Canis lupus familiaris: one gene and its partner. The protein of the gene in region 2 purifies or fractionates together with the protein of the main gene of each other region. This does not show direct contact. Links are inferred from orthologs where the notes say so. Each region holds a gene or a part of one and is shown on either strand. Other genes may lie near its edges.

Region 1 (4,482 bases), on a different chromosome or scaffold from region 2:
TCTCCAGGTTGTCCGGGAGGCCATCACATGCTTCACCCATCTCACCTTCCTCAAGGGCACCAGTGTGGGATGGCAAGGGGTGGGAAACAGAGTCTGGCCAGCAGAACGGACTCTGGGCTCAGAGCCTCAGCTCCCACACAACCCCACAGGCCACTCACCTCCTCCAGGGTGCTCAGAGACACTCCAGCAGCCACAGACACCAAGATGTGCTCAGTGGTTACCACAGAGGCCACCTCTGCCAGGACAGCTGGCAGGACATAGGGCTTGGTAGCAAAGAAGACCAGCAAGCAGCTCTGCAGAACCTCCTGGTTGGAGTGGGTGGTCTGGCAGCCCAGAGCCTGCAATGGTGACAGTGGGATCAGGGCTGGGGTAAGTGGGACGGCCTCCCAGACTGTGGCACTTCCCGCGGGAGGCCACCCTGCAGCCCCAGGGGTCCCCGTGGGTCTCTCCCATTGCGAATGCCTGCACCACCCCCACTCCCACTGCCTAAGACTCACCCAGACCATCCGTCTGGCTCAGGACCCCTGACCCCTGACGTCAGCACTTCCTCATGCCCTCTGACCCCAGTTAGTGCCCACAACCGTCTCTGCCCAACCCAATGCATGGGTACACGTGTGTGTATGTACATGCACATGCACACATACCCCCTTTACTCTGCACATGCACACATACCCCCTTTACTCTGTCCTAGCATCCCCCACAACCTCGACTTTCCTTCTGGTCTTTGACCTGACCTCCTCTTCCCCAGCCCAGCCAGTCTCAAAAGTTTACCTAAACAAGCAGCACTAAAATAATAATAATAATATTAATTAATTAATTAATTAACAAGCAGCACTTCCCTGGACCCAAGAACTGTCTCAGGAGCCAAGAGCCTCCATGAACCCCCCAGGACAGCCTCAATGCAGAAGAGCTGAGGCCCAGCCCACCTGGAAGTGGCAGAGGTTCCTGTCACTCGGTGCACTGGCCACTATGTGCTGAGCTTCTACTTTTCCTGGAGAGAAAGGCAAAAGCAGAAGGGTCGGTGAGGATGTGGAGTGGAAGGAAAGAAGAGCAGGAACCAGCCTGGCTGCCCCTTACTGGCTTCTGCTCAGCCATGCCCAGGCCATCCTGGCCCCAGCTGGCCTGACGCTCTGTAAGAACCCAAGTGATTGGCAGGGGTGCTGCGTGCAGCCGGGACCAGGCACTCCGCTCCATTCTCTGCTGCTGCCGAGTCCAGAGGCTCTGCTAGACACAGGGGCCCAGAGCTTGCCTAGTCTCATGAGGACTCCATCTCAGGGGCCTGTGCCTCTGGGGACAGGAAGGCGGGGACAGAGCCGGGGCAGGGTGGGGAGGGAGGCCCAGTAGGTGCTGAGCTTCCCTGGGAGTGGGGTGTGTGTCTGTGTTGGGATGTCCAAGCAGGGGCTAAATCCCCATTTGGTAGAAATTATCTGCATTTGTGGGGTGCAGGGCTGGGGAGATTACACTTCTGTAAGGTCTACCAGGAAGGCAGAAGTGCGCCCCACAACCCGAACACCGAGCCAGTGAGTTGTGACAGCGACCACCTCCAGGTGTGCCTACGCGGAGTATGGTGAACCTGCACAGCCCTGGGAGGAAGGTGATACTGCAGAGTTGTACACCTAAAGCACCTGAGACTTGCCATAAACTATTTTCTGATGATTTTCACCCTTCTGGACCGTGACTGTGGAGGACGGCAGAAAGCCAGCCCAGAATCTACACATGACGGTTTCCAAATCCCCTGGAGTAAGACTAGGACGTGCCTCACCGTGAACCAACCGTTCTCCCCCAGGGAGGTCCTGGCCTCCAGGCCCCAGGGCACGTGTGCAACCTCGAGACAGTTCCGGCTGTCCTAACTGGGGGGTGCTACCAACATCAAGGGGGGACAGACCAGGAAGGTAGCTCAACACCCTACGGTGTGAAGGATGAAGAACCATCCCCCGCCCATGCCCATCAGGAGGTGGACCACGCCTGCAGCCCGCCAAGGGGTGCAGCTGCTGCACACATCACATCGGAAACAGAATCAGAGTCTCGAAGGTCAAACCACCCGAGGCCGGAAGGAAACCAGAAGTTGGTGGGAGATCCCCGGGGGCAAAGGTAGCACCGTCCAAGAACAATACTACTGGGACCAAAGACCCAGCTTCACACTTTCTAGTTGCCATGTTAAAAGCAAGTAAGAAAAAAAAGGTAAAGTTAATTGTAATATATTTTATTTAACCCCATGTAAACAAAATACTATCCTTCCAAATATCAGTTTTAATCAGCATTAAAAATTACTAAAATATGTTACGTTCTCGTAAATCTTCCAAACTCAAAATCTTATTCTACAAACTCGCAGCACCCTAGGCTTGGACCACCCACGTCGCAAGCGCTGGCGGTGGGCACGCGGCTCACCGGGACAAGCAGCCCTGGCGCCCCACGCGCACCCTGCTGCCGTGCCCAGCGAAGGAGAGGTGGTCCTGCTGCGCCCTTACCACTCCCCGCGGAGGGCTCCCTGGTGACCCCCGCCCAGAGCCTCCGCTCCGGGACGTGAGCTCCGGGCAGGTGAGCTCCGAGCAGGTGAGCTCCGCGCAGGTGAGCTCTAGGAGGTGAGCCCCGGGCAGGTGAGCTCCGGGCAGGTGACCTCCGGGCAGGTGAGCTCCCGGCAGGTGAGCTCCGGGCAAGTGAGCTCCCGGCAGGTGAGCTCCGGACAGGTGAGCCCTTCCCGCGTACACCCGGCCGGCGTGGGACGCCCGCTGGCTCCCAGGCCCGGGGACCCACGCGCCCCACGCCCGCGGCGCCCCACCTGCTCGGATGAAGCCCTGCGCGATGGCCTCGGCCATACGTCCCGCGCCCACAAAGCCCACGCGGAGCGGACCCGGACCAAGCGCCGCCGCCGCCGCCATGTCTTCACCGCGGCCTGACCTGGCCCCGCCCATGTCGCCGCAGCGCCCCCCCGCCCGTCGATTGGCTGCCGGGACCTCACGCCCCGCCCACTCCCTTCCGGGCTCCGCGGCGAGCCCCTACCCCGGCCGCTTATTGGTCCGAGCGGGCGCGGTGCCGCAGGCTGGGGGCGGGGCGCCGCGAGGAAGTGGGCGTGGCCTGGCGCTCCGCGGAAGGCGCGGCCCCGGGCGGAGGGCGGGAGCGGCGGTGGAGGGGTCGGGCCGCGTGGAGCCGGGCGGACCCTGCTTTCCCAGGGGCAGCTTGAGAGGCTCCGTTCAACGAAGGGCCGGAAAGGGTGGGGGGCCCTGTGCGTCCGGGCGGTCCGCGCCCTGGAGCACGCCCGGTGGGGTCCCCGCGGGGACGCGGCGGAGTCCCGGAAAGCCCCGGCGGCCGGCCGCTGCGCAGCTGAGCTCCCGGGGAAGGAGCATCCGCCCCGATTCCGGTGAAAGACCCGGGCACGCAAGGCCGGCGCCTGGGGAGCTGGGGAGTGAGTGCAGCCCGCCGGCCTGGGCCGGGTTCTCCGGCGGGAACCGCGCCCTCGGGGCGCCCTGGGCCCTGGAGCCTGATGGCGGGGGCAGCTGCGGAGCGAGGGCCGCGGGGCCGGGCGGGCTGGCGAGCTGCAGCGGCTCCAGGCCCTGAAACGTGTGAGCCGGCCTGTCGCTTCTCTGCACCCGAAGTTCTTCAGCCAGCCTGGATCCTGCGAGAAGGCAGGAGGGGCCTTCCTGAGGCCTGGGTCCCCAGCGGAGACCTTGTTGGTGCTGGGGTGGGGGCGCTGATGGAGTGCTCGGCCGCGCAGGAGCCCGTTTGAAACTGACCAGAGGGTAGGGTAGGGGTGGGAGGACTTGTGATTTTCTTTTTTTAAGATTTTTTTTTTATTTATTCAGAGAGAGAGGCAGAGACACAGGCAGAGGGAGAAGCAGGCTCCATGCCCGGAGCCCGACTTGGGACTCAATCCCGAGTCTCCTGGATCACACCCTGGGCTGCAGGCGGAGCTAAACCGCTATGCCACGGGGGCTGCCTGTACTTGTAATTTTTAATTGACACGGGAACAATGAGGCTTGAAGATCTAACATTGCAGGGTATTCTTTATGATTGCATCTGAAAATGTTTTGTTATTCTGGAGACGCCTGGGTGGCTCAGCAGTTGAGTGTCTGCCTTTGGCCCAGGGTGTGACCCCGAGGGTCCTGGGATCGAGTCCCGCATCCGGCTCCCTGCAGGGAGCCTGTTTCTCCCTCTGCCTGTGTCTCTGCCTCTCTCTATCTGCCTCTCATGAACAAATAAAATCTTTTAAAAAATATTTTGTTATTCTAAACTCTACTTTGACACATTCTTAGCTCTTCAACAATCAAATCTCATTCATTCAACACTACCCTGGTGGTGGGTCAGCCCGCTGTGGGCAGGGGATAAAGGCCATACAGCAGCAGACTATAGGCAGCTGAGCCCGCACTTGGGGGACCTGCATTCTGGCTGGGGACACAGCCCCCTGCAATGAACACACACTGCAGGACACATGGCCAGTTTCTGTCCTGCCAGGTGTGTCCGGGCCTCTCCGCCACACTGGGCCTC
Region 2 (4,257 bases):
TGGCACAGACTGGAATGCCTTTTCCTGCTGTCCCCACCACCTGCAGCCCTATCGCTCGAAAAACCACTTAAGTCTAGTGCACGACTTTGAAAGATTGTAATATATTCTCTGGAAAACATTCAGCAGTACGAAAGCCCTCCCTGGGCCCTCCCGCCCTCTCACGGGTCCACAACTGGTGGAACGGTCCGGAAATCCTTGAGCTCTGGAAAGGTCCCTGGTTAGTCCTTGGGAGACACAGGTGGCTCTATATTGGAAGAACCTGCTCAAGTACGGTTCTTGACGTCTGGGGAATCCTTTCGGGGAAGATTACTTCAAACTCAATAATGAGGTCCCCGCGTTTCTCGGGTGTTTTGGGGAGGGGGAGGCCTTCTCCAGGAACTTTTCGCCGCATGCCAGGCCTGATGACATCTTTAAACACGACGGGGATGCTCCTGCCGTCCAGAGTGGGTACATTCACCGTGCAGCCACACAGAGCCTTGAAGAGCAAAGAGAACGTTAGATGAAAAATAGCTTAGGATGCTCAATTCCTGCCCAGAAGCTGTTTGATAGAGGGGAAGTGCCATCAGGCCCCTGCAGCTAAGACCCTGCCCCAGATCTACCCAGGTCACTAGCTAGCATGTTAATCTCTGGAAAAACAGAACCCTGGTCAGTCTTATTTTTGCTCTTATTTTACCCTTCAAGCCTGGCTCCAAAGTGCTCAGAAAGATCTGTCAAGCAGATACCCAACAGCTTCAAAAACCAACCATCTCCCTCCATACTGTACCCTACTAATTAGTAGCCTACCTCCCGAAGGCTGATCCTGGCTGGGTAAATGACATCAGAGCCATCTCTCTTAAAGATATTGTGTGGCTTGTCCTTTAAAACAAAGACAATATCAGCTGGAATGTTGTTGGAGGTCTGGTCGCCTTCCTTAGGGAAGGTGATTTTGGTCCCTTCTTTCCACCCCCGCTTCACTTCGATGGTCAAGATCTTGTCTTCGTTGCGAATGCTCTTTCCATCGGGGTTCAGTCGCTTGTGGGAGATTTTCATCTTCTTGGTACAGCCGCTATAGATCTCTTCAAGCGAGACCCTAAGGTCGTGGGTGACGGGGGGATCTTGCTTCTTTCGGGTGGGCTCTTGAGCGGGACGGGAACGGCCAAAGTTCATGTTGGTGAAGCCACCCATGCCCATGGGGAAGCTAGAGAATGGGTCATCAATGTCCATGCCTTCCTCCCCATTCCGCTGCCCAAAAAAGGTGTCAAAGGGATTTCGGCCACCGAAGAACTCAGCAAACATGGCATGAGGGTCTCCATGGAATGTGTAGCTGAAAGAGGTACCATTAGCACCACCGCTGCTGCCACCACTGGGGCCACCACCCTTTAGGCCTGAAAGGCAAAATCAGGAGAAATGAAATGGTTGGCAGTGAGCCTCTCTCTCTCACTAAAAGAAAAAAGCTTGAGAACCATAAATGATGGGGAGGAGGGGGAGGAATTTTATTAGCCTATCAGAAGAGAGTAAGGAAAAACCCTAAGGTTTTAACCCCCCACTGCAGCAACAGAGTTGGGACTCCCCCCTCCAGGTACTTCACTGTGCCAGGGCAGTGGCAAAGGGCTCAAGTGCCCTCTCCAGGGGCCACCAAATTCCTGCCACTTCTTGACTGCCCTATCCTCCCCTCAAGGATATGAAAACTTACCAAAAATTCATTAAAAGATCAGATTAAAAAGAAACCCCCTCCAGAATCTGTGCTCAGTGTTTACTCTTAGAAATACTTGGGAGCTAAGGATGTGTGCGGAGCACAAGTGAAAGCCAAACCATAAATGCAGCTTTTCAAATTCTCACACCCTGGCACTAATTGCCACCATCCTTACATAAAAAGCCACTTCATTTCTTAAGACCCAGCCCAGAAACCAGTCTGAGTCATCCACGGGCAACTGGACAAGACAGCTTCCTTCCCTTGGCCTGAGAGGCCTGCGCCGAGGAGGCCGGGCAGAGGCGGGTCCCGCCGCTCCCTGCACCTGGACTGCGCTCGGGCGCTGGCTGCCTTCTACGTGTCTGGCACCAGGTTAGGTAAGCACTTTACGGGGATTACCTCACTCCGCCCTCACAGGGGCCCCGGAGCGAGGTCGGCGCTAATCGGCGCGCTCACCCGCAGGCTCGCCACTCGCAGGTCGTGCCGGCGCGCAGCCAGAGGCCCCCCCGGCCCCCCTGCACGCCCCGGCCTGCCACCTCCGCCCAGGTGCGCCCCGGCCCGCTAGGGCGCGGTGCTACGGGCCGGCTCAGCCTCAGTGGCCCCCTCCGTCCGCACTGCACCCCCAGCACTGCTCGGGGACGTGGGTGGAGGAGCCTAGGGAGGGGCGACCGCAGACGTGCTAGAAGCTTCTGGGCAAGCAGCGCGGCCAGGACTCCTCCTCCCATCGGACGGCCGCCAATCCGAGGGCGGAGGCCCGCGTGGCCGGAGGGCGGGGGCCGCTCGCCCACCGGGCCCGGGGCGTCCCCCGGGGCTGCCACAGCCCGGCCGCCGGGCCTCGGTTTCCCCTCCTGTCAAACGGCGGGGCGCGCCCCTGGCCGCGCGCGCACGCACCTTCTTCCCCGTAGCGGTCAAAGATCTCGCGCTTGCGCGGGTCGCTGAGCACGTCGTAGGCCTCGGCGATCTCCTTGAACTTCTCCTCGGCGCCGGGCTCCTTGTTCTTGTCCGGGTGGTAGCGTAGCGCCTGGCGGCGGTAAGCCCGCTTGATTTCCTCGTCCGACGCGCCGCGGGCTAGGCCCAGCGTCTGGTAATAGTCCTTGCCCATAGCCCCCGCCTGCGGCCCGCCGCCCAGCTGTCGCCGTACCCCGGCTTCGCCGCCGCCCCGTCCCGGACCCTATATACCCGTCCGGCGGAAGCTTCCAGAGCCCGCCAGCCCCCTCCAGAACCTTCCGCCCCGCCCCCCGCACCGCTCCGACCAATCGCCGCCGCCCAGTCCGCGACGCGCGACGTCCGGGGCGGGGCCGCGCCGCCAACGGCCGCCCGCGCGCGGCCACGCCCCTTCCCGCTCCGTCCTCGGCAACGCCTCCCCGCGGCGCGCGCACCGAGCTGCGGGGGCCCCGCCCACTTCGCGGGGAGCCAATCGCGACCTTCCTTCATTGCCCTCTCGGACCAGGCCGACGAGCCTGGGTCAACAGGTTACAACACGAGGCTCGGGAAGGGGCGGGGCTGCGTGCGGCCCCGCCCCTCAAGGCTGCCCCGCCCTTCCCCAGGTGACAGAACTGCTCGCCCACTGCTCACGGAGCACCCCCCTCCCGGGGCGATTCTGAGCAAGCTGACTAACCTTGCGGTGCCCTAGGTACCCCCACCCCGACTTCTGTAACAGGGGAATAAAAATACCTACCCACCCTCTTTTCCTGGCTGTGGGGAGAATACAATTAGGAGCCCCAGGACTGTGCCTGTCCTCACCATACGGGTTCCTACAAAGCAAGGTGAGGCCCCAGGACCAAAGCTCACCGCCCTGGTGAGATCTTCCCTCCAGGGAAAAAGGCTCCTCATGCCTTTCACTTTAGTATTCTCTTAAGAACACCTGCCACTGAAATCCAAAATTATCTTGTTCTTTGGTTTTCTTGCTAAATCCACCTCCCTCCCAGCCTGCAGTTGCCAGTATCTGGAACCCAGTCGCAGTGGACGCTTCATAAATATTCCTGTTTTTAATGCACCTGCTTTATTTTTCTCCCCACTACATTTATGATTTGGGGGGACACGGGTGTGTCATATACCTCTCAGGGCCTCTGTTTCCTCACTTGTGGGCAATATGATCCCCTTTGGCTCCAAGAGTCTGGGGTGCTTGTGGTCAAAGGGCTGATGGGGAAGGGAGGCTCAGAATGGGGTATCACCTGAGAAGGGGTAGGCAGTTGTGGTGGCTGAGGTGGAAGGTTCCTAGGAGAACTGCTTAGGAGGTCAGGGTGTGTGACACTGGCTCTGGAGCCAGCAGCAGATTTCATTCCCACTTTTAGCACTTCCTGGCTGCATGACCTTGGGCTGGTTACTGAGCCAGCTGGGGCCTCAGTTTCCTCATCTGTACAATGGGGGTAGCAGTTGTACCTGCCTTGTAAGTCAAGGTGTGCAGGACTGACCTGGCACAGAGGAAGTACTTTTAAAGGGGTGACTAACCATCTTGGTGAATAATGGGCTGCTCAGCCACCCCCTTCCTGGCAGCACCACAGCAAAAACACTTCTTGTGACTGCTGCCCTGGTATAAGCTGAGACTTCTGAGAAAGAAGATCATGGCTTTCCCCTGCCTTCCAGTT

Evidence for each region.
Region 1: the proteins of DNAJB1 (region 2) and PYCR3 purify together in Homo sapiens (affinity purification with mass spectrometry; 3 studies listed by BioGRID and IntAct, with this or other methods). This does not show direct contact. The link is inferred for Canis lupus familiaris from reciprocal best matches to the Homo sapiens genes DNAJB1 and PYCR3.

The regions. Positions count from the first base shown.
Region 1 is NC_049234.1:38,005,719-38,010,200, forward strand, and holds the start of PYCR3 (pyrroline-5-carboxylate reductase 3), read right to left. Parts: upstream 2,910-4,482; 5' UTR 2,880-2,909; coding exon 2,780-2,879; intron 992-2,779; coding exon 927-991; intron 339-926; coding exon 159-338; intron 1-158.
Region 2 is NC_049241.1:48,526,161-48,530,417, reverse strand, and holds the start of DNAJB1 (dnaJ homolog subfamily B member 1), read right to left. Parts: upstream 2,864-4,257; 5' UTR 2,772-2,863; coding exon 2,561-2,771; intron 1,365-2,560; coding exon 784-1,364; intron 476-783; coding exon 245-475; 3' UTR 1-244. UniProt on the Homo sapiens protein: Interacts with HSP70 and can stimulate its ATPase activity. Stimulates the association between HSC70 and HIP. Negatively regulates heat shock-induced HSF1 transcriptional activity during the attenuation and recovery phase period of the heat shock response.